Linked DNA regions of Lepisosteus oculatus. The protein of the gene in region 3 purifies or fractionates together with the protein of the main gene of each other region. This does not show direct contact. Links are inferred from orthologs where the notes say so. Each region holds a gene or a part of one and is shown on either strand. Other genes may lie near its edges. The genes, in order: med1, rprd2a, polr2g and gtf2b.

Region 1 (7,334 bases), on a different chromosome or scaffold from region 3:
CCGACCCCGACCCCTGGATCAGTTCGTCACCTCTGCCCATTCCTCCTTCCCCGATAGCAAACCCACTCTCGCCCGGAGAAGGCTAACATCGAGCGGTTCTTTTCCAGTCCAGGCACCCAGATTTTACCTGGACCTCACTGGGAAGAGATGCAGAGCTATAGAAGGTAAAGGGAGTCTGCCAGTGCTGGGCTGTCCCCTCCTTCACAGCGTGTGGTGTGACTAACGGACTGCATTTCCTTGGAGTCTGAATACCTCCTGTACAGCTCTGTAGAATTCCAGAGATATAAACATCTTTTTCAAAACTCTTTAACTATCATAAGCTTGGAAAGAAGGAATTCTGAGATGGCAGATGAAGGAATTCACACAGGTGCACTCTGCTTGACCCACCACGCCCTGCCAGGGCCCGCTTCTGGGCACTGTTCTGTGCAATGCCAGCTGTGTGGTAACTTGTACCGCTGCCCTGATCAGCTCCACACAATCAGCCCTCCCCCACACCCCAATCCCCTCACCTTTCAGGGCTCTCTGCAGCGTCTCCAGGCAGGTGAGCAGGAGCTGGTGTCCCCCAGCATTCAACACATTGCGCTTCTCCTGGGTGGCGGGAGAAAGAGAGATTGAAGGCCTATTAAAATGCACACAATACCCCTGTAATACACACCCCCTGACTGCACTAGCATGACCTTCGCCCTTCTGTACCAAGTCCTCCCAACATTTCGGGCTGACCCCCCCAAGAGCAGCGGGTCCTGAGCCCTCTATCTCCCCCACACTGCTCTCCCCATCCTGCCCCATCCCTCTTCTCTCTCCCTGCTCCTGCTCTCACAATTTTCTCTTATTTGATCTGAATTCTAAGATACAACTTTTGCTTTTTCAACGTCTAGTTTATATCCAGATATACAACCATATTTCTCCAGGAGGGCCTCAAAAAGAAACTGGCTAACCACAATCTAATAACAGTAATAACTGTTCAAACTGTAATATATATAATATAATTATACTAATACTCGTCCAGACTAACCAAAATTGCTCTTATCTTTTGAGCACTGGTGTTTTGTAATGTGAAGAGAATGTCTAATGTTGTCAAGAGTTTGTCTATCCTGAATAAATCCCTTTAGATCTAAATTCATGAACAGAGAGAATATTTGATCCAATCTTCAGTACATGATTGATGCGACAGTCCACATTGAGCAGTGAGCTCTGGGGGAAAGACACACATCTAGCCTGGCCTTTCTCTTCTTTGGAGATTGACTTGAAATCATGGTTTCCTCCCAGGAAGGGGGCAGGTCTGCTCCGGTGCCCTCTCTCTGCCCCCACTCCCCCCCGCATGTCCTGGTGCCTTTATGAGCTCCACCCTCCTCTCCCTCACTCACCATAGCCTGCCGCACCACCTTGCTGGTCTCCTGCCATGGCCGGGAGGCGCAGTGTTTGGCATGAAGCCTCTCCAGTAGGGCACCGACTCTGCTCTGCTTCTCTGCCTCTGAAGGGCGTAGAGGGCACAGGGTTAGGAAGACACACAGAGCACTCTCATAGGGAACAGGGCAACACACACACACAGAGCACTCTCATAGGGAACAGGGCAACACACACACACAGAGCACTCTCATAGGGAACAGGGCAACACACACACACACACACACACACACACACACACACACACAGAGCACTCTCACAGGGAACAGGGCAACACACAGAAAGAGCACTCTCACAGGGAACAGAGCAACACACACACAGAGCACTCTCACAGGGAACAGGGCAACACACACACAGAGCACTCTCACAGGGAACAGAGCAACACACAGACAGAGCACTCTCACAGGGAACAGGGCAACACAAACACAGAGCACTCTCACAGGGAACAGGGCAACACACACACAGAGAACTCTCACAGGGAACAGGGCAACACACACACAGAGCACTCCCACAGGGAACAGGGCAACACACACACAGAGCACTCCCACAGGGAAAAGGCAACACACGCGCACACACACACAGAGCACTCTCCCAGGGAACAGGGCAACACACAGAGCACTCTCCCAGGGAACAGGGCAACACACGCACACACAGAGCACTCTCACAGGGAAAAGGCAACACACGCACACACAGAGCACTCCCACAGGGAAAAGGGCAACACACACACAGAGCACTCCCACAGGAAACAGGGCAACACACACACAGAGCACTCCCACAGGAAACAGGGCAACACACACCGCTAGGCATTTGGTACACAAGGCTACACAAAACTGACAAACTTATCTCAGAGGAAGAACAACAGGTATACTACATACAGCTGTAAAAGCCGCGGCAACCCACTGGCACGGACCCCAAAACTCCCTGCTCCGCATGCAGGGCGATTTACAGCGTTATGGAAGTGCAGATCAAAGAGCTTTCAGGTAGGGTTTCAGGACCACCTCAGCACGATGTGACACTGTTATGATTAAGGGTATGTCTCAGAGGAGCGATCAGCCAAGATATGCGTAGATCCAAATGGAAAGCAAACACGCCTGACATCAAAATGAAATCAAAAACTCATAAAGGGGGAGGAGATCGTCTTATTTATTTTTTTGCAATTTCAATAATTCAATGACTCTTTTCTTTGAAAACGAAAAAAGGCGAAAAGGTATATAAAGGTGATTTTCACTGGCTCCGGTCCAACCCCTGGCGCTCCATTCATAATTTCTAAATAATATTCTCAAGATCTCAACGCAATACAGTAACAGATCAGCGAGAACGCGATACTGTAGCTCTGCCGATCTGCTGTCGACCCCCGATTTCCCCCGTGAGCACGTCATTACCTGTCCCCTCCTCAGGTCTGGGACGATCCCCGATCGTAGGGGGCCCAACGGTCGGTGCCCCGGGCCCGAGTTCTCTCGCTGGGCTACAACCCGATATAACAACCCCAGAAACCGCCGCCATTTTCAATATAAAAATCTTCCGTCGCGCAGGGTAGAGTTTCCGACAAGACTGCCGGGGGCGGGGGGGCGCGGGGTTGTGGCGTCATCAGGAGGCGACTCGGACCGAGCAAACGAGGGTGGAGGTGCTGTAACTGCGGATCAATCGTTTTTCTGCTTTGAAGGACTTTTCTTCAAGAAGCCCCCGGCGACGATAAGGACGTGGCAGATTTTATAAATAAAATCTAATCTGTGTTGAAAGCCATTGCAGATGCTGCTGCTGTTAGTTCTAAAATAATAAAGGCGGAGCTGCAGATCCAAAGATATACCGTGCGTGTGCTATCCGATGCAGTCTGGTTTCTTACTGGGGATCCGGCCGGGCATCCCCCAACAACCTCGAGAAACGTGGCTGAAACCTGTCTCCGGTCCGAAGTAGTTTCAACTTTTCATTTGTTCTTCAGGTGTGTTGGTTGTGTAGAATACAACGTACTAGGAAACGTTACGTGCTTGGTCTTCTGAGCGTTACAAGCGCCAAGAAGTTCTGCAGAGAGTTTTGTTCAAAGAGTAATGATTTACCTATAGAACAGGAAGAATTAAGTGACAAGAGCACAACGGATAATGCATCAATATATATAATATTGCGTAATAAATATGTAATGAAAGTACCGTACAATCTAAGTTCAGCTGACTTTTATCGGCGTTTGCGTATTTAAAAAAACGCCTCTCTCTGGTACCTTCTTAATTTAAAAGCACAAAGTGTTTATGGATTGCGTAATTGATTATTTATATGTAATAAACATTTGTGCTGTGCGTTCCATCAGTTACGGACGTCTAAAAGCAAATAGTGTTTTACTAGTAACGTGGTTTTGTGTTGTGGCAGACGTTACGTATACCCATTGATAGCCTACGTAATTTATAAAACGATTTCGAGCACAAGGAGGTTCTGCTGTCCGTTTAAAGATTAACACGTGAGCTGGTTACATCTGTGCATGGTTTGTTATAAGGGCGAACAAGTTCCCGTTTAAAAACTTGCACCTCAGTGCATTTGAACTTTTCACAACCTGTGGAGTTTCTCCGGTCTCTTCGTGACGCGCCACCTAGAGGTTAATTGGTGGCACTGCAGCCCGTGAGAGGATAAGGGCGGAGCGTCGCTCTGGAGAGGCTGTTGCCCGGTGACGACGAAGATTGACAGCAAGTGAGACTTCCGGCTTCGGCTTGGGGGAGAGAGAGCGAGGACAGAAGCTCAACCTGCTAGAAGGAGCCACAATGGCGTCTGTCCTCTCGTCTTAGCAACAGGGGCAGTGGGTGTTCTAAATCCGCAAACATCGCCCTCAATACAGGCCTGTTAGACTCTCAAGGCCGTTCAAAATAAACTAGAACATCTGCTGCACACGAATATACTGTCATTTCTGACCAATATCAAATATAAAGAGATTAAAAGATTGTCTATATAAAACCGAACATGTAAACAGTACCAACCGGTTCAAGTTTTCATTTTCAGTTTTGTGAAACAATATCGCCCATTCATCATGGATTATGCCTGTTTCCGAACTCCAAGACCGTAAACTGAAGGAATCAAGGCACCTTCCCTGAAGCCTGCTACAGGGCGAGGGGGATAACCAAAAGAGGTGTTGTTTTTTTTCTTTTTGTTTTTACAAAAGAAAAAATAACAGCACAAGTAAAACTGAGAAACGAGGAGAGAGACAGCACGATTGTAACGACTTCATTTAAACCAAACCTCTGCTTGATTTAATCAGCTATGAAACTACACGCTCATCCGCCTATTATGTCTATTTTTCGTTTTGTTTCTTCGTAAAAAAAAAAAAATCTTTCCTTTGAAGGAAAACCAAAACGCCGGACCCAAGCCGCGCTGACCTAGCCGGAATGAACTCGGATTAAGCGTTCGGGACGGAGAACACGATCTGAATTTTTGTTTTTATTGAATCTTTTTTTTTTTCCTGGTGCTTTTTTAGGTACTATTCGCCCTTTAATGCATCGCCTCGGCTGCAGAGGCCCGCATTTGGGAGAAGCGCCGCTGCTAGCGTGAGGGATGCCCGGTTCAGACAGACAACATGGGTCGACCAGGAGGAAGCCGGATCCCAGCGCCAGCGTCTCACTGCCGCCCGGCAGCAACAGCGGGGCCTTCCAGCACCTGCTCCCGCCGCACTCCAGCGCCCAGGCGGGCTGCGTGACGGGGAAGGACGGGAAGCTCATCGCGTCGTCTTCCTCCTCCTCCTCCTCCTCCAAGCGCCGGCGGCACAAGTCCTCCAAGCACGGCCGCGAGTCCTCCTCCTCCTCCTCCTCGGCGCTGGGCCAGGGCCAGGGCCCGGCCGCTGCGTTCGCCACCCTGGGCCCGGCGGCGGCGGCTGCGGCGCCTCCAGCCGTGAGCGCCATCAAGCCGCTGGTGGAGTATGACGACATCAGCTCCGACTCCGACACCTTCTCGGACCCGCCGGCGGCGAGGTCGGCGGTGGACCGGCGAGGCGGGGAGCGCCTGGACGGCGGCTCGGACTACGGTAAAGGGGGCGGGGGCAGCGGCGGGGTGTCCGGGGAGAGCCGGGGCCACAAGCACCGGCACCCCCGCAAGAAGTCCAAGGACCCTCACAAAGTGAAGGACTCGGGTGGTGGGGGGGGTGGAGGAGGAGGAGGAGGGGGGAGCTCGAAGAAGAAGAGCAGCCGGGACAGAGAGAAAGGGACGTCGGGGAAGAGCGGGAAGGAGAAGACATCTGCCTCCGCCTCGGCCCCCTTCAGCCCCGGCTCCACCAGGCTGGGTCTGCTGGAGGGGGAGGTGGGGGCCAAGCTGGCGTCGTCGCTGCCCTCCTCCGCGGCCCAGGCCCTGCTGGGGACCGGGACCAGCACGGCCTCCTCCTCCTCTTCCTCGCGGAGCAAGGACGGGGGCGGCGGCGGCGGCGGCGGCAGGTCGGGCAAGTCCCGCAAGGAGAAGCTACAGCGCCGCGGGGAGCGGGGGGAGTCCCGCGGCTCGTCCCAGAAGGACCGCCGCAAGTCCTCCAAGAGCTACAAGGCCAGCCCCAAGGGCAAGCCCTCGTCCCGGGGCGGCGCCGGCGGCGGGAGGAAGCAGGCGGCCGCCCCGCAGTCCCCCAGCCCCAAGCGGGGGGCCAACGACAGCCCCCCCGGCGGTGGGTACGGCCCGGACGGCGGAGAGGACGCCTACCACCACCATCACCACCACCACCGGCGGCGGGCCCCCCCGCCGCAGAGCCCCAGCCCCTACCGGGACTCGGGGCGCCGCAGCCGGCAGCGCTCCGACAGCCCCTACGGCAGCCGCCACCGCTCCTCCAGCTACGAGCGGGACAGCAGCCCCTACCCCAGCAGGAGGCGCTCTTCCGTCAGCCCCTACGGCAACCGCCGCTCCTCCAGCGCCAGCCCGGTGTCACGGTGAGTCCCGCGCCACGCTTCTGGGGGGTGAGGGTCACGGGTGACCCGAGAACTCAGGTTGGAATTTGTGGTGAAGAAGGGGGTGAGAGGCTCGGGTTGGATCCGACCCCCATTCTCTTGAGTCCTTCTCCGGCCTGCCAGGTCCAGTGCTCTGCCCCACAATGCAGGGCAGATTGACCCTAACTCTCCGGCCACCCGTCAACTCCAAGGGGAAGCTGCCATCAGGGCTGCCAGGTCCTCATAATATTTGGGAAAAGGGCTCCTTCCTACAGGAGAGCTGCTGATGATATTATTGGCGTGTCTTAAGTTCTCAAGAGGATGTAGAGTAGACCAAACGGATGTATATCAGTTTACTGACGTGAAATGAGTGTGTATACCGAGCTGATCATGTGTAAATCTAGGGTGTGTTGTCTACTTTCGTAGCTTCTGAAGGCTCAAAAGGGCCTTCAGAGCGTTCTGCGCACAGGAGCGCAAGGTTTCGGAAGGCCCTGTATGGGGCTGGGGGCAAAGTGTGGATTTGTAATCCTGGGCGCAATTTCTTCCTCATTTGCCCACAGCAGCTGTCTGTTTCCTGAGGTAGGCCAGAGCAACAGTCTTTCACTTTTCTTGTTTGGCTGTAAGTGAAAGCACCAGCACAGCGCTTCAGTAATTTCGGAGGCCGCAGTGTGCTGCACAGAGCTGGAAAATGCAAAACGGCAAGACCAGCGTTCTGCTCACCAAGTGTTGCAGTGTCAGTCCTCTTTCTCGTGTAAAAGTGTCGTGTGCTCGCTCAAGATGGCAGCAGGCCATCAGTGGTTGCATCTAGATTGTGTTTTTTTTCAGTTTTTCAAATTATGCTTTCAGCCCTTTCTCCATCTCGAAGCAGCCGGGAAAGGGTGCAAAAAGTCCTAAGAACTCTGACTAAAAGGCAGAGCTAATAACAAACTTGTAATATTGATGACTGGCATGCTGTAGTTCCCTTTGATCAGTGCCAGCAATCAAAACTGTGATAGTGTTATTCTCTGTAAGGGTCTAAACTTGGGGTAGTTTTGTTTTGAGTAAAGAGCTGCTTAGATC
Region 2 (7,006 bases), on a different chromosome or scaffold from region 3:
GGAGGAGGAGGAGGAGGGGTGAGGTGAGGGAGGAGGAGGAGGGGGAGGGGCCAGGTGAGGGAGGAGGGGGAGGGGCCAGGTGACGGAGGAGGGGGAGGGGCCAGGTGAGGGAGGAGGAGGAGGGGCCAGGGGAGGGGGAGAGCCAGGTGAGGGAGGAGGAGGAGGGGCCAGGTGAGGGAGGAGGAGGAGGGGCCAGGTGAGGGAGGAGGAGGAGGGGCCAGGGGAGGGAGGAGGAGGAGGAGGGGCGAGGTGAGGGAGGAGGAGGAGGAGGAGGAGGGGCCAGGTGAGGGAGGAGGAGGAGGAGGAGGAGGGGCCAGGTGAGGGAGGAGGAGGAGGGGCCAGGTGAGGGAGGAGGAGGAGGGGCCAGGTGAGGGAGGAGGAGGAGGAGGGGCCAGGTGAGGGAGGGGGAGGGGCCAGGTGAGGGGGGAGGAGGAGGAGGGGCCAGGTGAGGGAGGAGGAGGGATGAGGAGTGGGGGGGCAGGTGAGGGAGGAGGAGGTGGAGGGGCCCGGTGATGGGGGGGCCAGGTGAAGGAGGAGGAGGGGCCCGGTGAGGGGGGAGGAAGATGGGGGGGCCAGGTGAGAGAGGAGGGATAGGAGGGGGACAGGTGAGAGGAGGAGATCAGGTGAGTGCACAGGTGACTGTAACGGACTGTCTCTTAAAACACTGTCATTCTCGCAGAATCCGAAACCTCACGAACCCCGCGAAGAAGTTCAAGGTGGAGGCGAACGCCAACCAGCTGTACCTGACGGGCACAGTGGTCCTTCACCGGGACGTGAACATCGTGGTGGTGGAGGGAGGTGAGCAGGGGGGCGTCTCCCGGCCCAAGGGGGGCAGGCGGTCAGTCGGTCGGCCAGTGACCAGTGAGTTCATCTCCCCCCCCGTCTCTCCTTCCCGCAGGTCCCAAAGCGCAGAAGAAGTTCAAACGGCTGATGCTTCACCGGATCAAGTGGGATGAGCAGACAAACTCCAAACGGGATGGTGAGCGGGGGTAGGGGAGAGGGAAGAGGGGGACAGGGGAGAGGAAGTGGGGGAGGGGACGGGAAGAGGGGGACAGGGGAGAGAGGTGAAGGGGCGCTGTGTCTGTGCAGATTGTCCTCGTGCCTCTCGGGTCTCCCTACGGTGTGACCTTGATTGTCGCTCCGTCTCCCTGCAGATGCCGAGGGCTCGGACGAGGAGGGGCTGAAGAAGAAGAATAAGTGCTCTCTGGTCTGGGAGGTGAGTGCCCGTCTGTCCTCCCGTCTGTCCTCCCGTCGGCACCAGACCCGGAGTCCCGGCCTGTCTCATGCCCTGTCCCCTCTCGCAGGGCACGGCCAAGGAGCGCAGCTTCGGGGACATGAAGTTCAAGCAGTGCCCCACGGAGAACATGGCCCGGGAGCACTTCAGGAAGCACGGCACGGAGCACTACTGGGACCTGGCGCTGAGCGAGTCTGTGCTGGAGACCGCCGAGGACTGAGAGCCTGGGACTGCTGGGAGAGAGGGGCTGGCAGACTAGCACTGCTGGGCTGAGAGGAACTGGGAGACTAGGACTGCTGGGCTGAGAGGAACTGGGAGACTAGGACTGCTGGGGGACAGAGAGACTGGGACTGCTGGAGAGAGGGGGACTGGCAGACTGGGACTGCTGGGCTGAGAGGAACTGGGAGACTAGGACTGCTGGGGGACAGAGAGACTGGGACTGCTGGAGAGAGGGGGACTGGCAGACTGGGACTGCTGGGCTGAGAGGAACTGGGAGACTAGGACTGCTGGGCTGAGAGGAACTGGGAGACTAGGACTGCTGGGCTGAGAGGAACTGGGAGACTAGGACTGCTGGGGGACAGAGAGGCTGGGAGACTAGGACTGCTGGGGGACAGGGACTGGGACTGCTGGAGAGAGGGGGACTGGCAGACTGGGACTGCTGGGGGACAGAGGGACTGGGACTGCTTGGGGAGAGAGGGACTGGCAGACTGCGACTGCTGGGGGACGGGGGACTTCGAGACTAGGACTGCTGGGGGACAGAGGGACTGGGATAGAGAAGGACTGGGAGACAGTGAAGACTGGGAATATTTGGAGCATGACAGTCTGGGAGGACTGGAAAGACTGCTGAGGACTGATAGACTAGGAATACTTGGGATAAGTGAGGGATTGAGAACAGGAATTGGAGAGACTGGGAGACAACGCAGGAGACCACAAGGAGTTGATTATTAGAGTTGATCCTTCCCATTTTCTCAACTAGCTGCAGTCTAATCCATTCCAGGATTTTTTGGGGGACAGAATCACTACCAGGACTGCAAATGTGATGCTTGCTGCCTTGTTTTGAGACCATAGCTCATCATCAGATATATCGAGTTAATATTAAATACTGTGTGTATATATCTTTGTTTTTCTATTTTGTAAGTAACAATCTGCACAAGAGCCCTGCAGTGGATAAGAAAACTTGGAGTGGATCAGACTGCTGTGCACTGGGAGTCTGACTGGCAGTACTGTAAAACCTGGAGTGGATCAGACTGCTGTGCACTGGGAGTCTGACTGGCAGTACTGTAAAACCTGGAGTGGATCAGACTGCTGTGCACTGACAGTCTGGCAGCGTAGTGCTAGGAGAACTCTGAATCCTGTTCTGAGAGTTGACCGTTACAGTCGTTTCTGTCTATCTGTTGTCACATTTCACCATTATTATTGTGGACTGACTGCTCTGTACAGTCAATGGAATGACATTGTAAAAGTGTACATATTTTGAACAAAAACAATAAAAATTGAAAAAAATGCTGGGTTCTTTGTTTTTGTTGAGATGTTTTCCTGTTTGACTAATCATGTGTTCTTGGAGAGCTACAGTCCCAGTCCCGTAGAACAGTCCCGTTACAATAGGAGCTACAGTCCCAGTGCAGTAGAACAGTCCTGTTACAATAAGAGCTACAGTCCCAGTGCAGTAGAACAGTCCTGTTACAATAGGAGCTACAGTCCCAGTGCAGTAGGACAGTCCTGTTACAATAGGGGCTACAGTCCCAGTGCAGTAGGACAGTCCTGTTACAATAGGGTCTACAGTCCCAGTCCAGTAGAACAGTCCTGTTAAAATAGGGGCTACAGTCCCGTTACAATAAGAGCTACAGTCCCAGTCCAGTAGAACAGTCCCGTTACAATAGGAGCTACAGTCCCAGTGCAGTAGAACAGTGTTACAATAGGAGCTACAGTCCCAGTACAGTAGAACAGTCCTGTTACAATAGGAGCTACAGTCCCAGTGCAGTAGAACAGTCCCGTTACAATAGGGGTTACAGTCCCAGTCCAGTAGAACAGTCCTGTTACAATAGGGGCTACAGTCCCAGTCCAGTAGAACAGTCCCGTTACAATAGGAGCTACAGTCCCAGTGCAGTAGAACAGTCCTGTTACAATAGGAGCTACAGTCCCAGTACAGTTGTCATTTTGCAATAATAGTTTAAATATATAGGTAGATCGGTTTTAACAGGTGTCTTCACCGTGCGATCTTAATAGCCGATATGTAACACGGATTCATCCGTTGACATTTCGATGAGTTTTGAAAAGCAGCCTTAGTTCTGATGAAGTTCAAGTAGGGAGCTGCCTCAGCATGCGTAAGCTGCGAAGGGACAAGTAAAGGTTTATTCCATGCGGAAGACATGGAGGGTCGCAGCAGAAACACACCTCTTTTCAGCATGGAATAAACATTTACTTGTTTCTTGGTATTGATGTCGTTTTTTTAGGCTTGAACTAAACGCGAATCTCTCAGAATAAAATGTCCCTAAACGTGACCCGTACATTTTGGAAGGTACTATTTTGACATGGGTTCGTATAAAATTAAACAGATGCAGGCTGCCATCACATTTTAAGTAGAAATACTAATAAAGCCTAGGTGTGTTGTTATTTTTCTCTTTTATAATAGGAAACCTGTATTGGAGGGGGGCTAGACAAACGATGTCTCCAGAGAAGCTGACAAGTCTGAACGGTCCCCCCCCGCTTCTCTCCCGGAATGGCGCCGCCGGGCCAGCGGGGACGCGCGCGCGCGCGCCCGGCGCCGAGAGGGAAAGTGCTCAAGGTGGCGGAGAGCCGTGTTGTTTGGGATGTGGAACTGGTCTGCCGCCTCAAACGCGAGACACAGCAAAATAAACTTACGGAGGAGTAAGAGCGTTGAGTCGTAGCAAAGAATCGGTAATAAAATAAAAAAATGCCAAATAAATCGAGAGAGAACTGGTGTAGCGATCTTATCTGTACAGTAGACCATGACTGCATTGTTTTGGGTTCCTTAAGCGAACTCGGAGGTCTCGGTGCTGCGAGCTCCGTGGAGTCTTGTCTTTTCTCTGAGTGACTCTTACCCCATTAAAAAAAAACATTTAACAGCGTTTTAAAGAAACAAACCGACGCGCTGAGGCGGCGTCTGTCACAGGCGCTCAGCGCTCGGTGACGTCCGTAGGAGAGCAAGAGGTGACGGTTGGGCTCGAGGACGGGCAGGGGGGCTCGTGTAGCCCGGCTCCCTCCCTCCCGCCGGCGGCGGCGGCACAGGATATCGACAGATATCGGCTGGATCCATAGCTGGTGATGTCGGCAGCGAGGGGCCGTGTCGCTCTTTAGGGTATAAAGTGGAGACACGTGCGGCGTTGTCAGCCTCGCGCTGCAGTTCAGTCGTCAGAACTTGTATCGGGCGCGTTCTGTGACGCACGAGCGGGTGGACCGAGACTGTTTTTTAAAAAAAAAAAACGAACGGCTCGAGTCCACGGCGACCCGGCCGCGCGCGGGAAAGAGCCCGCTACGACCTGAGCGCCGGGAACGGGCCCACCGCCGTGCGGGACTCATTAATAATCGCTCGGACTCAGGCCGCTCTCTCTCTTTTCTTTTTTTTTTTTGGGGAGGGGGTGAAACGACACAAACAGGCATAGGCTCGCCCCCCACTGGCGGAGAGAGGGCGCGCGTCCCCGCTCGGCGGCGCTGTGACCGGGTGAAGCGCGCGTTCCCGTCGCCCACGGCCGAGCGCGCTCCCGAGCAGCCTGGCCGACTGAGTGCGAGAAAGATGGCGGCTGGCGGAGGCAGCGGCCGGGGCTCCTCGGCTTTGGAGTCTTCGCTGGACCGCAAGTTCCAGGGTGTCTCCAACACCATGGAGTCCATCCAGAGCCTGTCGACCTGGTGTATCGAGAACAAGAAGCACAACGCCGTCATCGTGCGCTACTGGATGAAGTGGTTGCGGAAATGTGAGTATCCCGGGGCTGGCCGGGGTTATATAATGCGGTGTCCCCCGCTTCTCCATCGGCGAGCGTGTCTGCGGGACGGGCGCTGGGCCGGGAGCGGTGTGCGCACAGGCCTGGCGCTGTGTCTGTGGGCTGGGTGGGATTCTGCAGCAGCAGTGCGGTGTCATTGAGGAGCCCACCGCCCGCTCAGGTGTGCTGGGGAGGTGGAATAGCTGTTGGAAAGTGTCTCTCCGGGGGGCTGGCCTGTGGCCTGTGGCCCCCCTGTGTGTCTCTCCGGGGGGCTGGCCTGTGGCCTGTGGCCCCCCTGTGTGTCTCTCCGGGGGGCTGGCCTGTGGCCTGTGGCCCCCCTGTGTGTCTCTCCGGGGGGCTGGCCTGTGGCCCCCCTGTGTGTCTCTCCGGGGGGCTGGCCTGTGGCCTGTGGCCCCCCTGTGTGTCTCTCTGGGGGGCTGGCCTGTGGCCTGTGGCCCCCCTGTGTGTGACTCTGGTTGGGGGGGCCGGCTTGTGGCCCACCTGTGTGTGACTCTCTGGTTTGGGGGGGCCGGCCTGTGGCCCCCCTGTGTGTGACTCTGGTTGGGGGGGCTGGCCTGTGGCCCCCCTGTGTGTGACTCTGGTTGGGGGGGCCGGCTTGTGGCCCACCTGTGTGTGACTCTCTGGTTTGGGGGGGCCGGCTTGTGGCCCACCTGTGTGTGACTCTCTGGTTTGGGGGGGCCGGCCTGTGGCCCCCCTGTGTCTCCCTGGTGGTGGTCCTGCAGTGTTGCTCTCGGAGGCCCTGCGGCGCACAGGGTGTTTCTGGGTGGCTGCTGAAGTGCCCTGTCGGGGGGCCTTGCGGTGGGTCTGGGGTCCTGTGTGGGGAGTCCTGTTCTGTAGACCCTGGCCATAGCACGCCAGCTGCCTTCCCGGGTCCGGCCAGGACCGGCCCGGTCCGTTTGGGTCCGGCCGTGCTCGGTTCGCTCCCAGGAGGAGCGGACACAACAGGAGGCAGCTTACAAACTGGATCCCTGGATCTCACCCAGCTGCGTCTTTAGAAACACCAGGGTATCGGCTAGGCAGCTTGTTCCACTCTCCCACAACTCTTGGGCTAAAGAATCGCTGCCTGTTCTCTGTTCCAAACCTTCCCCAGGTTATCTGACCCAGTGGGAGTTGGCATTCACACTTCAATTTATGTCAGTAATAGCTCTGCTTCTGATGAATAAAACCTGGATTTTGGCTGTTATATGTGAAGATTAATACATTTAAATGCGCCTCTTACCGTTGAGTGTGATCCTTGCTGGGGAAATATCTGTATTGCTGGTAGCAAATCCGTCAGGTTTAACCAGAAAAAAAAACATCGGGCCAAAACATTGGAAATCCTGCCGTTTCTCGCAGGTAGACTCCAAACTTTGGAACACGGCTCGTTCTTGACGATGTTGGAAGTAGCGGCCGTCTCCCGCGAAGAACCGGCTTCAGTGTTTTGAAAAGGCCCCTGCCGGTCCGATCGGCACCCTGCGGACGGAGGGCGGGTGCGTTCGTTCGCGTGGCGATGTCGGCTTTTCCTGTGAAAGCAGCAGGCGGCCCCCCCCTTAACAAATAATGCAGCAAAGAAACCAAGTGAATCGTCTTGCTCTCCTTGGGTGGCGTGCTGTGGAGAATTGCAGCACAGCCCAGCGCACTGTTTGGCACTGTTTTAGCTTGGTTTCTGAAAGATGTGTACTGCATGCGCTGCTCTCCTCGCTCGTGCTGTTAAAAGCCCCTCTGGGTGCCGGTGCCGGTGCCGTAGGTGGCCGACTCCTGGTGTAGACGCTGTAACAGGCGGGAACAGTCTTCATCGGAAGCAGCCTGCTTGAGCCCGGAGATTCCCTCTTCC
Region 3 (7,306 bases):
TCCCCTTTGAGCAATCTTTGAAGCTGTCCAAATGGGCAACTAGATCCTTTACCTGGAATAGCTGTAGCTCTGCTGAAGGCCGCGGGCTCTCGGCTGGGCGGGAGAGGACCAGCCCAGCTGCTGACCGGCCTGCTCTCTCCCTCCCTGCAGCAGACTGGTTCTCAGCAGGGGCTGACCGGCCTGCTCTCTCCCTCCCTGCAGCTGCGGCGCTACTGCTCCACCCTGCTCTGCCTCCTCCCCCCCCTGCTGCTCCTGCTGGGGGGGGGCGGCCTGTTCCTGTGGCCCTCTGGGAGGCCGGGGCTGGCCGGCGCCCTGCTGGCGCCGCTGGACCTGGACTGGCTGTGGGCCGGGGACCTGTGGGCACGGCAGGAGGCCTGCGGCTCCGACTGCAGGTAGGGACGCGCGGGCGCTGCCTCCACATCCCAGGGATCCTGCTTGCTCCCCACCCCCACCACTCTCTGTGTGAAGACGTGCCTGTGGCCCTTGTTTCTCTGCGGATCCAGACCTGGGTGCTGTCAGAGAATTGGGTGACTCTTGCTGCGTGTGTGGAAAGTCTGTGCTACTGTGCTAATGACCTGATATGGCATTTATCTGGAAGGCCACAGAGTCCCAGTCGCCGTTGTACGCAGTATAATTGTAAATCCGTTAAAAATATCGAAGATCGTGCTGCCGCTGATACTGAAATCAGCAGATTGGAACGTGTCAGTCTCTGTCCCTCCTGGTGCAGCCTGTCCCTGCTGGAGAGCCTCCCTGAGGGGCTGGAGTACCCCCCTGGCTCCCCCCGCCTGACCCCCATCTCCCAGGCCTGGAGAGACCTGCTGCACAGAGCCAACCACAGCGTCAGCATCGCAGCCTTCTACCTCACACTGAGGGACACCGACCTGGAGGCCTCCGAGCCCAGCGCACTGGAGGTGAGTCAGGGAGAGGGCTTGGAGCACTGGAGGGGAGAAGGGAGAGGGCTCGGAGCACTGGAGGGCAGGCAGGGAGAGGGCTCGGAGCACTGGAGGGGAGTCAGGGAGAGGGCTCGGAGCACTGGAGGGCAGGCAGGGAGAGGGCTCGGAGCACTGGAGGTGAGTCAGGGAGAGGGCTCGGAGCACTGGAGGGGAGTCAGGGAGAGGGCTCGGAGCACTGGAGGGGAGTCAGGGAGAGGGCTCGGAGCACTGGAGGTGAGTCAGGGAGAGGGCTCGGAGCGCTGGAGGGCAGGCAGGGAGAGGGCTCGGAGCACTGGAGGTGAGTCAGGGAGAGGGCTCGGAGCGCTGGAGGGCAGGCAGGGAGAGGGCTCGGAGCACTGGAGGTGAGTCAGGGAGAGGGCTCGGAGCGCTGGAGGGCAGGCAGGGAGAGGGCTCGGACGCTCGGAGCACTGGAGAGAAAGAAAGACTTTCAGCTGCACTAGTCATGTGGGCAGAAGGTTAATGAGCTGTCCCTTGTGTGTGTGCGGCGCAGGGGAAGCGTGTGTTCGAGGCTCTGAGGGGCCTGCCAGCTCGAGGGGTGGGCCTCAGGATCGCCGTCAACAGCCCCCAGACGTACCCCAGGGACACGGACGACCTTGCGCTCGCAGGTAGGAGGCCGCACCCCGCACCCCACCCCCAAGCCTGCTCACAGCCCCTGGGGGAAGGCTGCGCGAGTCTGATCCCTGTCCCTCCCTCTCCCTCTCTGTGTGCGCAGGCGCGGAGGTGCGCCCGGTCTACCTGCAGAACCTGACCGGGGGGATCCTGCACACCAAGCTCTGGGAGGTGGACGGCCAGCACGCCTACCTGGGCAGTGCCAACATGGACTGGCGCTCCCTCACACAGGTGCCTCCCTTCCGGCTCATGGCCTGCCCGCCCCCCTGCAGGAGACCGGCTCTGTAACTGGCCGTCTGCTCTCCCGCAGGTGAAGGAGCTGGCCGTCTCGGTGACGAACTGCAGCTGCCTGGCCAGAGACGTGTCCCGGCTGTTCCAGGCGTACTGGCTCCTGGGCTCTCCAGCAGGGGGCGCAGTGCCCGCGCGCTGGCCCCGCCGCCTCAGCGCTCTGTCCAGCGCACAGCGCCCCCTGCAGCTGCAGCTGAACGGGCTCCCGGCGCAGGTCTACCTGTCGGTGAGGGCCGGCCGTCGGACAGCGCTCGTGCGTGACTGAATTTGTGTGCATGCTGCTCCTGACTCTCTGCCCGCCCACTCCCCCGCAGAGCGCTCCCCCGCCGCTGTCCGCGGACGGCCGCACGGACGACCTCTCGGCCATCCTGGGCGTGATCTCGGACGCCCGCCGCTTCGTCTACGTCTCGGTCATGGACTTCCTGCCGGCCTCCCAGTACACTGAGCCGGCCCAGTTCTGGCCGCCCATCGACTCAGCGCTGCGGGCGGCGGCGTGCGCGCGTGGCGTGGAGGTGCGGCTGCTGGTCAGCTGCTGGCCGCACTCCGACCAGCCCATGTTCGTCTTCCTGGAGTCGCTCGGCGTGCCGAACCACCCGCCCCTGAGCTGCCGGCTGCACGTGGTCAGTCCTCTCTCTCTCTCTCTCTCTCTCTCTCTCTCTCTCTCTCTCTCTCTCTCTCTCTCTCTCTCTCTCTCTCTCTCTCTCTCTCTCCCGCTGTCCGAGCGGTCTTCCCCCTCCCCGGCCGGGGCCTCACCGTGCTCGTCCTGTCCTCTGTCTCTGTAGAAAGTGTTCGAGGTGCCCTCCACCGAGGAGCAGAAGATGATCCCCTACGCCAGGGTGAACCACGCTAAGTACATGGTGACGGACAGAGTCGCGTACATAGGTAAGCAGTGCCTTGCCTCGCTGAGCCCCGCCCCACCCTGAGGCTGACTGGCCTATCACAGCCCTGCCCTGAGCCAAGCCTCACTTAACCCCTCCCCCCCGTAGGCTGGCCCTATCACAGCCCTGCCCTTTCTTAGCCTTGCCCCCCCCTCCCCCCCCTGCAGGCCAGCCTCTCAACTTTTCATTTCGTCACGCTCAGCCTTGTACCACACTGACGGTGCCCCGTTCTCTCCCCCCTACCCCCCTCGCGTAGGGACATCCAACTGGTCGGAGAATTACTTCACCCACACGGCGGGCGTGGGGCTGGTGGTGAACCAGACGGGGGCTCCAGCCGGGGCAGGCAAGCGCAGCGTCCAGAGTGACCTGCAGGCCGTGTTCGAGAGGGACTGGGACTCCGGCTTCGCTCAGCCCCTCTCCTCGGAGCCCGCCCACCTCTGCGGAGCACGGGAAAGCGCATAGCCCCGCCCAGCTGGGGGGCAGGGGGGGCACCGTCGCTCGTCTGCTTGCAGCAGCTTCCTGCGCTGCCAAAGCCACACAGCCAAAGCCTGAAGTTGAAACGGAGGAGAGACGCTGGAGTCCTTGTCAGCGAGAGTGGACACCAGGGGGCGCGCTTGATAGCCGTGTGTGTGGAGCTTCTGTCAGAGGGAGTCTGGGACACACACTCTTTGGGCCACGAGGTCCTAAGGATGGATAGTCAGTGTGTGTGTCCCAGGCTCCCTCTGACTGGACCAGTCCTCCCTCGCAGACGAGGCCCTGGACTGGCTCGGGTCGGGTCGGGTCGGGTCGGGCTGCGCTGTTCTCTCTCCACCTTGAGGGAGGTGGGCATGGGGGAGGGTTTCAGTAATAAAAGAAATTGCCTGGGTGGGGGGGTTGATTTTGATCTAATCTGTTCTGAAATGCTGAGTGAGCTGCAGCTGTAGATGTTCGTACCGCAGCGTGTTTGAAGTGAGAGCTTTGTTCGATGTTGATTTTTATTTTTTTAGGAATGGGTTTAGGATTATTTTACGGTGTGAATGCTTCTGCCTGGGTAGTGGATCAAAGCCATAATGAAGCCTCTACAAGAATATAGCAGCGTCCTCGCTGATCTTATTTTGCCTTGCATCCTTCTTAAATTATTTTTATATTTTCTGTTGCCAAATGATATGTGTATATGATGGTTCTTGTATGCACACACCTATCAAAGCCATGTAAAGCCTTTTTTAAATAAAGTTGCCTTCAGTACTCGGAAAGACGGTGTGGCTGTGGAGAGTGAACAGGAACGGTGGAGGCTGGGGTGGCCCTGGGGTCGGTGACGGAACCCACCCTCTCACTGCCTGACCTGAGAGCCAGGCCTGTGGACAGAGGGCTCAGGTCAGCCTCAGACGCCTACAGTTCTACCCATCTGACGCGTTAATTATACTTGCTCACATGAGCCTTGATAATGCTCTACGTTTTACGGCTTTAGTCGTTTGTGGGTAATACATAAACTGAAGAAATAAGGCATAACATATTTCCCTAGATGGGCCCTCTATGTAGACTAACGTGAAAGCGCTCCAGGACTCCAGTGTTAGCACCGCCCCCTCGGATGACGTAGAAATGCTGAGACGGAAACGGAAAGGCGGAGTGAGCGTCGGCGCTTCATTCGTGTTGTAGCGTTGTTGCTTTATTTATATTCGTATTTGTGTAATTAAATTGGGTTTAAAGGGGTTCTCCTTGTGGAAGTGGGACACGATGTTTTATCACGTAAGTAGCTGAATCGTTAATTTCCGCGGTCACGTAGCCTGGCGGCTCTGACTGGGGGAGAACGCTGGGCTCAGAAACGCAAGAATATTCATATTTCATTTTTAAAGTGCAAAGTTCGTCTTTGCCGGAATATTTTATAGCAGGACTGACAGAAATAAACATATTTAAGTGTGCGCAAGTGAACGCGTCTCCATTCTTGCCTGTCGACAAACGTTTCAATGTGAAAGGTTTTATTTTTAGAAATAGAAATGGGAATGCTTCATTTCACCGAACCTGCTTATGAGTTTCTCTATCCTCCTGATCCGCTATGTGTCTCCCAGCTGGCGGTGAATTGGGTCTCTCCTGTCTGGGGAGACTCCTGGGGAAAGTGCGGTGTAAATACAAGGAACTTGCTAAGCGCTGGTCACATGGTGCAGCTGGCGCACCTCACACCAGAGGTTTAGAGGATTAATCACTGCCTCCTCCAGCACCTGCTGAGGTGATGTCGCGTCCTTGTTTGACCGTCTTGTGGAAGAGCCGTGCAACAATTATTTTTAAAAAGTGGGCAGGTGCCCTGGTCTCCCGCTCTGTAACGCCTGCCTCCCTCCCAGATCTCCCTGGAACACGAGATCCTGCTCCACCCCCGGTACTTCGGCCCCAACCTGCTGAACACGGTGAAGCAGAAGCTGTTCACGGAGGTGGAGGGCACCTGCACGGGCAAGTGAGTGAGCGGGATCGCTGCAGTCCGCTCCGCTCCGCTCCAGGTCTTCCCTGCGGCGCAGGTGCTGACGGCCCCCTCTCTCTGTCTCTGTGGCAGGTATGGCTTTGTGATCGCTGTGACCACCATCGACAACATCGGCGCCGGCGTGATCCAGCCTGGCAGGGGCTTCGTGCTGTACCCGGTCAAGTACAAGGCCATCGTGTTCCGACCCTTCAAGGGAGAGGTGGTGGATGCTGTGGTCACTCAGGTCAACAAGGTCAGGACAGAGCATGGAGACCTCCTGATGGCCTGTCTCTCTCTCCCCTTCTCATCCATCTCTCCTTTCCTACCTTCCTAATCACCTGTCTCTCTCTCTCTGCTCTCTTCAATCGTCCTAATGGCCTGTCTCTCTCCCCTTTCTTCAATCGTCCTAATGGCCTGTCTCTCTCTCTCTGCTCTCTTCAATCGTCCTAATGGCCTGTCTCTCTCTCTCTGCTCTCTTCAATCGTCCTAATGGCCTGTCTCTCTCTCTCTGTCCTCTTTTCTACCCTCCTGACGGCCTCCTGACAACCCGTCTCTCCATCTCCTAGGTGGGGCTGTTCACAGAAATTGGACCAATGTCGTGTTTCATCTCTCGTCACGTGAGTACCGGACCCCTCTTCCTCTCTAGTCCCGATGCTCGGCCCTGCTTCCTGTTTCCCTCTCTGCTGCGACTTGGAAGTCTGTCCCAGCTCTCCCTCCGGCGCTGCAGGACGGTAACTGTTGCTCTTGTGTTCACAGTCCATTCCTTCAGAGATGGAATTCGACCCGAACTCCAACCCTCCCTGCTACAAGACGGTGGACGAGGTGAGTCTGGGCTTGGGTTTAACAAGGAGAGGCGCCGCCCCCCCCTCTCTCTCGCTGCCCGCTATTGCAGAGCTTCTGACTCCCCGCCGCTGGTCGGTCTGTCTGTCTGTCCCGTGCAGGACATCGTGATCCAGCAGGACGACGAGATCCGGCTGAAGATTGTGGGGACGAGAGTGGACAAGAACGACATCGTGAGTGTCTCTCTCTCTCTCTCACCCCTCCCCCCCATCTCTCGTGCTCCCGGTAACTCCCTCCCTCATGTTGTTTTTCTCTTTCAGTTTGCAATTGGATCCCTGATGGATGATTATCTGGGTGAGTCCTTCAGTCAGTCATTCCAGCCACTAGTGTTGCAGCATTGTGTGCTGTCTGTCACTGTCGCCCCCTAGTGTCACTGGACTGGGATTGCAGCCCCCAGTGTACCAGACTGTCCTACTGAACTGGAGCCCCCAGTGTAACAGGACTGTCCTACTGGACCGGAGCCCCCAGTGTAACAGGACTGTCCTACTGGACCGGGACTGGAGCCCCCAGTGTACCAGGACTGTCCTACTGGACTGGAGCCCCCAGTGTAACAGACTGTCCTACTGGACTGGAGCCCCCAGTGTAACAGACTGTCCTACTGGACTGGAGCCCCAGTGTAACAGACTGTCCTACTGGACTGGAGCCCCCAGTGTACCAGGACTGTCCTACTGGACTGGAGCCCCCAGTGTACCAGGACTGTCCTATTGGACTGGAGCCCCTAGTGTACCAGGACTGTCCTATTGGACTGGAGCCCCCAGTGTACCAGGACTGTCCTATTGGACTGGAGCCCCCAGTGTACCAGGACTGTCCTATTGGACTGGAGCCCCCAGTGTACCAGGACTGTCCTACTGGACTGGAGCCCCAGTGTAACAGACTGTCCTACTGGACTGGAGCCCCCAGTGTAACAGACTGTCCTACTGGACTGGAGCCCCCAGTGTAACAGGAGTGTTTTGGCCTTTAAAGATGAACCTCACTGTTGCTTGAATGAAGGAATGATCGCTCTCTCTCCGTCTCTCTCCAGGCCTGGTCAGCTGATCCTGCTGCAGAGGAAACTGGAGAAGAGAAGAGATCTATTTTTATAAGTGTCTGGCATCAACCCCCACCTCCCCCACACGAACCCCGACAGCGCAGCACCCCCACGAGAAGCTGCGCCCCAACTCTGCGGCCCCTGCGGGGGGGGGGGGTCAGGGTGTCACGGTTCCGGAGCACGAACCAGTCTGGGGGTGCAGCTCTCCCCAGACTGCGGGCCGAGAGAGCTGCGTTCTCTGGCTGCCCCTGCCCCTGCAGGTGACTCAGCAGGTTCTTGCTGG
Region 4 (7,708 bases), on a different chromosome or scaffold from region 3:
ATTCCTCCAGATAGTGGAAGAATATCTGATCCCCGACACCACTGACCGCTCGTGTCAGCTCACCTGGGAGAGCCCTCCTGACACACCTGCTCTGAGCCGCTTTGGGCAGCCATGATGGTCAACAGACACCCAGACAGTCAAAAGCACCAATGCTTAGTATTAAAACAACCAGGATTCCCTGAGCTGCAGCACACAACTGGCTGACCAAATGTTGATTTTAAATGATAAAAAATAAACCACTTAAGAATGAAATGACTTCAAACCCCAGACCAACAGATTTTTGACAGTGTGCCCAGTCGAAGAGGACCCGTGACCCGAACCGCTGATATAGTCAGCCTAAATCTAAAAAAAAAAAAAACGCTTAGTCATGGTTAGAAGATGGACACATTCTGTTCTCCAGTTGGCGGATGTAGCTTTCATTTTCCTGTACTGCCTGAATCCGTGCGCATCAAAACCCAGCGCACCAGAAGTGATGTCATAGGGCCGCGGCAGTCAAGTCAAAGCCTGTCGATGCCCGAAAGCCTCTTTACTGTGACAGAGCCTGCTGCTCTCTGGCTTCCGAACGACGACGCGCGCCTCGCTGTCTTACCCACAACCAGTCCGCACTCGGGGCAGATCATGTCTCCGGCCCGGTAGTCCTCCACCAGCATGGCATCGGGGTGGTTGGGGCACTGGACCTTGGGAAGGGCATCTCCACTGCGGAGAAGCAACCACATGTCAGACCAACAGAGAACCCGCTGGAACACGCCGTTACCACATGTAGCAGCACCGCCACAGCCAGAACATTTCAACACGCAGTGGTCTAGCAGGTCTTCAACAGGGAACACTTCTGTCCCTGCCCACTAACGAAGAGCGACAGGGTAGCATTGCCTTGAGACGGAGGTTATGACAGGAAATTCCAGGGAAACTTCCAGGTAGCAAACGGACCTCAGTGCTCGGCCAGGTGTACCTGCGCAGGATTGACCGCCGACTTCCCAGTTCGGTCAGAGGCGACGGTGCTGGAGTTCAGCGCAAGTCTGATAGAGGCCCAACTGTACAGCACCAACTTGTAAATGAGGCCGAAATTATAAACGCTTTTGAAAAACTTCAAGATGCTGTGCCAGAAACGAAACGTAAGTAGCTTAATTTTTGAAGTTTTGTTGTGAAAACCATTCTATTGAAGTTCAAGAAGGTGCACGAGCTGCACGAAAAACTTGGACACAGGGTTTCTATAAAGAAACTTTTAAAATGATTCCTGACGCATGCTGCCAGTATACAAAGTCTTTTAGCTTATTAACAGCTGTACAACTATCTAGAATTATTCTTATCGATGTAAAATGTGTTTCTGATTAAGTGCAAAATCTCATTCCTAACAATTTGACAGTGATGCAACTAATGTGTCTGGCTCTGCCATCGTGGACTGACTACGAGCTTCATTACTTAGCTGATAAAACAATTACCCTAGTTTCCCTGCAAAATACTCCTAGAACAAAAACTACACAGCATGGCTTTCAAAGTACACTGTGTCCTACTGCAGATCAGAAAGCCAGATATGACCAGAGAATTGTTTAGCAGCAAACCTTTGGAAGAACTTCAGAGCCGATTATATTGTCCGTGTTGTTTTTTGTAAACATGCTGGCTAACCCAGATGATAGTTACAGGCTTTGTAACAGCGGGAGTCCTATCAAAGGACGACTAGTGTAACAATGACACACAAACAGGTGAGAATAAGGTCTATGAAATCGACAAGTAGTGGAACAAACTGTTCCAAACCTCCATGCTATTTAAACCAAGCGCAGGGCGTACAGTTCCAAGACAATTCGTCCCATATTTTCACTTCTGCACATCCATCCATGTTTTAACCACTTTATCCAAGACAGGCTGGCAGGGCAGCCGAAGGCTATCCCAGCAAGCAACAGGCACAAGGCCAGATACACCCTAGACGAGACGCCAGTTTTACTCAAAAGCCAATTAACCTACCAGCATGGCTTTGGACTGTGGGAGGAAATCCACATGAACACGGGGAGAACATACAGACTCCACACAGACAGCAGCCCGGGGCCCCAGCACCGCTGGCCACTGCGCCTCCGTGGCTTTTACTTCTGAGGTTTCCAAAACCCACACTGCTGCGTAGCGCCGTGCATCGTGAATAAGAACGGAATGGAAAGAGCTCACGTTCCGTGTTTGAACCGAAGCCTCCCTCTCGTGAATAAGCTCAAGCTAGAAATATGCTCTTTCCCGAAACTATAAAACACGTCTGATACTAGAGAACACCTGCCGTCAAAGCAGGTCAGAAGTGAAACACAGGGGCACCGAGAGCGCTGGCGGGGGGGTGTCTGTACAGCGGCGGTGTGCTGGGGGGGGGTGAGTGGGGCCCTGTCGGTACATCAGCTCCGGTTTCGATTCTGTCATCGCTCTCCGCTCCCCCAACTCGCACCCCCGCCGGTCATCTCACCGCACTGACAGCCGGACAGCCTGCCCGAGAGTGAAATCAACGCGCATCCCGGGCAGCCGCGGTGCGCACCACGCAGGCAAGCCAGACAATAGGCGAGCCGACGCGCACGGAGGGCAAGGCAGAGATTAAGCCAACACGCCTCAATCCCGCTCGCCACGCAGTTTCGACCAAGCACCCCCGTGTGCGCGCCCACGCACACGCCGGGTCCCACGGGCAGGTTTGTTTCAGACACAAAGAGGGGATCAAGCGGCCCCGGCGAGTCTGCTGACTGTTCACGGCGCCCCCAACACGCCTCCGGCTCACCCCGAAACGCAGAAAAAACACCCAGTACCGCCGGCCCCCCGTTAATGGCACCCCTTCCGAGCTTGTTTTCGATACTTTTATCTCCCCCCCCGCCCCTGTCTTGTTTACCGCACAAGACCTTAGAAACAACAGAAACGTATGATTAAAAAATACCAACCGGCTAGTAGACGCCATATTGCCTTCAGTCGAGCTCACCAACAGCGACTGCGGACACGCACTGCGCCCCACCTCTATTTATAGCTTCGCTCGTCACGTGCCCGAGAGCGTACGGGCAGCCGAGAGGCCCAAACTTCATACACGTCCTTAATCACTCCCTTTGTCGTGCAAATTTCCAAATAAAAAAAAACATCATAATTGAAGTTTCAATACCACTTCCATTTGCATGTAATACAAATCTGAGACTTTAAACTCCAAATGCACGTCATGAATCCTGCGCCATTTTACCACTTTGACTTTTACGGAATGACAGGCGGTAGGCATACAATGAAGGTTTTTCATTTCGTACGTGAATAAAAATCTTTATTTTTTCATTTTTTACCGCATTTTGTCCAAAGTACATTAACTACTTTAATTTATTTGACGCAGACAATACGATCAAGTACGCTGCTTTGACTTTCGAGTGACTTTCTAAAAGGCAATAGAAAGATAAAAATAACGAATGGAACGATTAAAATAATTCGCAGACACAGCTAAAAAAAAAACAAACTTTGACAATAAAAACTTCATAACGAGCAGAAATTATTTTTCACTTGCATAGATTTAGTCAGGGTAGAGAAGGTTTTAAGAAAAAAGATTTCAAATATCAAAATACTCCGAAGGTCCAGGCGGAGGTCTGTTCCTGCGCCTCGAGCCTTCTCAGAGCTCAACACGTTTCAGCTCCGTCGGCACACAGACTCAAAGACACGGCAGGAGCGACACATTTCAAACCCCCTCGCTGCCCAAACCGTATCTACGGTCCTTCTCTTCCTGAATGCAGAGGCGGAGCGGTGGCTCTGTGGCTCAGGATCTGCGCCTGTGGCTGGAAGGTTGCCGGTTCGTATCCTGCGGCCAGCAGAGAAATCCTACTCTGTTGGGCCCCTGAGCGAGGCCCTTCACCCCAGCTGCTCCAGGGGCGCCGTATAAATGGCTGACCCCCAGCTTCTCTCCCTGTCCATCTGTCTGTGTCTCATGTGAAAAGAAATTCCTGATGCAAGAAATTGTATATGGCTAATAAAGTGGTCTTATCCAACTCCAACAAGCTTTTCGTAAAATTTAATTTAATCAGTCTCTCATAATAAGATTGCTGTGATAATTGTGTAAATAACTCTGAACTGACGTTTCTTTTTATTTCCCATTTTTAGGAACAGGAAAGCATTTCAACACATTCTTAGTTTCCGACAGATAAGACCTGTATATTAAATGTCCTTTAAACGGCATGAGGGTGAGATACGAGCTCCTCTCCAGGAGAAAACCACCTCACAGGACAGAGATAACTGCAGGGACCTTGAGGAGAAGACAGGGGAAATGCCGAACGCAGGATAATAAAAGACTTTAAGTAGCACTTGCAGGAAAAAATGCTTTAATGGTATAATGGAAAAGGCCACTGCATCACACAGAAATACTCAAACCATCACGGTAATAAACTTGGTGATGCAAAACAGCAATACTGAAATGTTTCAATTAGCTCAAATTCAACGCATCATCAAATTCAAAACGTAACATTCCCTGCAAGATAGCTAACACGGCGCCGGGCCAGGGCCAGGGCCAGGTCTTCACTATCAGACAGGCGCCGCTCTGTTCCAGTTCTTAAGAATCTCCTCTGCTGCATCTAACGTGTCGTCTCGCTGCAAAATAAGGGAAAACAAAAAGTCAGCGCAATGCTCAAACTCTACAAAACTCGCCAGCGGGATCAGTATCCATTCATTTCAAGCTGGCCTAAACGGATAACTGGAATTCAGGTGATCAGCTGTACTGTGTCAGTCATATTCAATACAACTGGCCTGGGCCTGAAGTCCTGACAAGCCATGAGCAGGGCCACCATTCTGGTGTCCCCCAATAAGAAGAAATACGGCCATCATGAAGGTCACTCAGCTTTGATTTGCCGTTTTACACACGGCACGTTTATTGTGCTTAAACTGCCTGCACACAGCAGCCTTTACCATTGCTACCATTTGCCTTCAGACAAAAACAAGTTCCTGTCTTGGCATTTGCCTTTAACGTTTTTTCAAACCTTTTTTAAACAGAAGCCTGTTTAAATTTAAGTTCATCCTACAAGAGAGGTATGACCGTGAGAAAGCAAGGCCTTGTCTCGTCTTGCTCGGCCACCCTCAGGGAAACTCCCACTGCCCACAGGCCAGTCTCAGCCCGGCCACAGGAGACCACGCCAGGCAGCCCATCGCCTGCAGGACAGGCGTGCTGCCAGCAGGGGGAGACTTGCTCGGGACACCCAGGGAAAGATGCCTTCATAAAGGCAGAAAAGCAGCAGGCTACCTTGATGAAACAGAATCGGATGTATTTTTCAAACTGCTTCTTAGACTCTTCTCCACAGAAGGCAGTCATTGGAATAGCTGCGAGTTTCTGGAAGAGAAAAGAAAAAAAAGTCCAGAAGGGCCCCAGGTTTCTGTGACTCCAATAACATCCTAATTGCCTGCTCATGCGGTAGGGTCTGCCTCATCTGATTTGTTTTGGGTATGGGCACTCACTGCCGCTGTGGAAAACTCCCACAAAGCACACACTCAGCACTCCCCAAGCACAGCAGGAGGAAAGAGCTGTACCTTTTCCTTGATCATCCACTTCACAAACTTGTAGTCGTACGGCTCGTCGTCTCCTGCGTGAGACAGGTCCACGTCTGCGCAGACAGAAAACATTGTCACGCTCGGACACAGGCTCTGCAGTGCTCAGAATCCACCAGACGGCTCACGGACAAGAAGAAGTCATGCAGGCCATTTCTCTCTAGTGTATCACGTTTAAGGCGAACGGTCATTGTGCAGAGCACATTCCTCACACCAATTTCTTTACACTTCCATACTCTTGGACTACTTTTCTGCACACTTCTACCCTCCCACGCTGTGAGCAGGAATGCTGGACAGGCAAGGGAAGTCAGGAACTAGAGCCCTGGTGGTGCTGTGATGTGCTCTCCATGCTCGATACAGATTAGCCGTCTGTCCCAGCCCTCGGACCACAAGTACAGTTTTTAACTCTGGGAAAAAATCACTATGCTACTTATTAAAATTAAAACAAAACCCTTCATCACTACACTACACTGACAACAGAACACAAGTTGCTGTGCATTACTGTTCCTTCAATGTGTAGAATAAGGAGTCCTGTTTGATGTGAACAAAGTCAGCGTTGTGACACAGTCCTGTCAGTACGCAGTGTCTTGAACTGCGACAGCTCTTGTCTTTGCTGGACAGAAGAGCTCATTGTCTGTTTTCTTCACACTCATTGCCTTCTGCCGAGATCAGTCTCCCAGCACCACTGGGCTCTTCAGCTCTCGTACCAGGGCCCTGCCTCCCCTCTGTGAGCAAACGCAGTCAGAACAGGGCCCAAACACTGTCATAGCTTTTGTAAGAAGAACAGATTAAAGGCGGCAGTGTGGCCCGTTGTGTTTGCTGCTACTCGTAACCCGTTGGTCTGAGGTTCTCAGCCAGCTGTCCTGTGTCAGAACTGTTGGAATCAGTTTAAATGGGCAAGGGGTTCCAGTTCCAAGCACCCACCACCCTTTGTGTAGAGACGGGTCTCCTGATCTGTCCCCTAAATGCACATAATTTCCACTTGTGTCATAAGATTTTTGATTCACTGCTGATTAAATGTTTTACCCATCACATGTCTAATGTACTATGAAGCTGAGGGGGAAATATGCTAGCAGTGTATGTAATCCAATTCCCTCTTTTCACTCACTAAAAATGACATACAAATATCTGGGAAACGTGTGTGTAAGGGGCTCACACAGACTGCGAGTGCAAGCTCTTTGCCCTAGAGGCTCTAGAGGTGAACTCACGGCTCACACCAGGGCCACAGTGACTCACTGGGACAGAGCTCATCCCAGCTCCTGTAGTGTCTACTGGTCTGGAGTGCTGGCGACTTCCCCCAGCACGGGACACTGGTCCATCACAGGGATGACACCCCAGCAGTACCGGTGCCCAGTTATACAGCTGGGAGGACGGGAGAAACTGGGCTGAAGTATCTCACTGAAGGAACAGCAGTGTCTGCAGCAGGGACTCGAACCCACAACCTGTCTGTGATGAGCCCAAAGCCCCCCCCCCCATGACGACGTGGAAACAGTGGCCCTCACTGATCTGCGGCTATGTGAGCCTGGGACAGTTTTCCAGAAGGGCAGGACACGTTCCCGAAAACCCCGGTGGAACAGCCGACTCACCCAGCGCAGACACGTCCGCGAGCATGAAGTAGCCGCCTTCGGGAACGACGGGTCTCATGCCAGCGGATTCCAGGATCCCGGCCATCCGATCCCTCTTGCCCTCCAGCTCGCGGGCGAGAGACGAGAAGTAGCAGTCGGGGTCACCCATGCGCTTGAAGTCCAGTAGCAGGCCCTGAGCCACGGCCTCCTGCGGGGCAGACATGGGGCCTTCTCAGTCGCAAGAGCACAAAAATCAGTGCAAGGCCAGATCACTTTCCCCTTCATCCTCCCTCAACTGTCCGACGGGAGCACTGTGGTCATAGGCGGAAACACTGAGCAGAAGTACAATAAAACCGAGAGGAGGAGACGCTTCCCTACACAGAGGGTGGTGGGAGTGTGGAACAAGCTGTCTGGCCAGGTTATTGAAGCTGACTCGACGCAATGGCTGCACGGGATCGATTCCAGTAACTACTAACTGCAATACCACATTGGGCCAGGTGGGCTGAATAGCTCCCCTGATTTATAAACAGTTTTTCTCATGATGCCACTAGGGGAAGAACGACTGAGGGACACGACCTGATTTTCTACAACTCGCTTGGTGTGATGTCTTCAGCGGCTCATCATGCTGTCGGACC

What was found.
Region 1: the proteins of polr2g (region 3) and med1 purify together in Homo sapiens (affinity purification with mass spectrometry; 3 studies listed by BioGRID and IntAct, with this or other methods). This does not show direct contact. The link is inferred for Lepisosteus oculatus from reciprocal best matches to the Homo sapiens genes POLR2G and MED1.
Region 2: the proteins of polr2g (region 3) and rprd2a purify together in Homo sapiens (affinity purification with mass spectrometry; 3 studies listed by BioGRID and IntAct, counting the BioPlex papers as one, with this or other methods). This does not show direct contact. The link is inferred for Lepisosteus oculatus from reciprocal best matches to the Homo sapiens genes POLR2G and RPRD2.
Region 4: the proteins of polr2g (region 3) and gtf2b purify together in Homo sapiens (affinity purification with mass spectrometry; 3 studies listed by BioGRID and IntAct, with this or other methods). This does not show direct contact. The link is inferred for Lepisosteus oculatus from reciprocal best matches to the Homo sapiens genes POLR2G and GTF2B.

What each region holds. Positions count from the first base shown.
Region 1 is NC_090723.1:5,851,309-5,858,642, reverse strand, and holds the start of med1 (mediator of RNA polymerase II transcription subunit 1), read right to left. Parts: upstream 3,003-7,334; 5' UTR 2,908-3,002; coding exon 2,787-2,907; intron 1,472-2,786; coding exon 1,365-1,471; intron 589-1,364; coding exon 510-588; intron 1-509. Other genes in the region: cdk12 (cyclin-dependent kinase 12), read left to right, coding at 4,933-6,278. UniProt on the Homo sapiens protein: Component of the Mediator complex, a coactivator involved in the regulated transcription of nearly all RNA polymerase II-dependent genes.
Region 2 is NC_090722.1:7,118,631-7,125,636, reverse strand, and holds the start of rprd2a (regulation of nuclear pre-mRNA domain-containing protein 2a), read left to right. Parts: upstream 1-3,992; 5' UTR 3,993-4,132; intron 4,133-4,830; 5' UTR 4,831-4,988; coding exon 4,989-5,166; intron 5,167-7,006. Other genes in the region: prpf3 (U4/U6 small nuclear ribonucleoprotein Prp3), read left to right, coding at 680-798, 899-979, 1,155-1,216, 1,305-1,454.
Region 3 is NC_090713.1:22,714,380-22,721,685, forward strand, and holds the start of polr2g (DNA-directed RNA polymerase II subunit RPB7), read left to right. Parts: upstream 1-4,298; 5' UTR 4,299-4,441; coding exon 4,442-4,453; intron 4,454-5,043; coding exon 5,044-5,153; intron 5,154-5,249; coding exon 5,250-5,409; intron 5,410-5,722; coding exon 5,723-5,773; intron 5,774-5,912; coding exon 5,913-5,978; intron 5,979-6,097; coding exon 6,098-6,169; intron 6,170-6,256; coding exon 6,257-6,290; intron 6,291-7,017; coding exon 7,018-7,031; 3' UTR 7,032-7,306. Other genes in the region: pld7 (5'-3' exonuclease PLD4), read left to right, coding at 151-392, 728-911, 1,444-1,558, 1,666-1,793, 1,873-2,076, 2,165-2,470, 2,633-2,732, 2,985-3,190. UniProt on the Homo sapiens protein: Core component of RNA polymerase II (Pol II), a DNA-dependent RNA polymerase which synthesizes mRNA precursors and many functional non-coding RNAs using the four ribonucleoside triphosphates as substrates.
Region 4 is NC_090704.1:1,108,646-1,116,353, forward strand, and holds the start of gtf2b (transcription initiation factor IIB), read right to left. Parts: upstream 3,002-7,708; 5' UTR 2,912-3,001; coding exon 2,895-2,911; intron 697-2,894; coding exon 590-696; intron 1-589. Other genes in the region: kynurenine--oxoglutarate transaminase 3, read right to left, coding at 4,495-4,560, 5,207-5,293, 5,491-5,564, 7,095-7,281. UniProt on the Homo sapiens protein: General transcription factor that plays a role in transcription initiation by RNA polymerase II (Pol II). Involved in the pre-initiation complex (PIC) formation and Pol II recruitment at promoter DNA.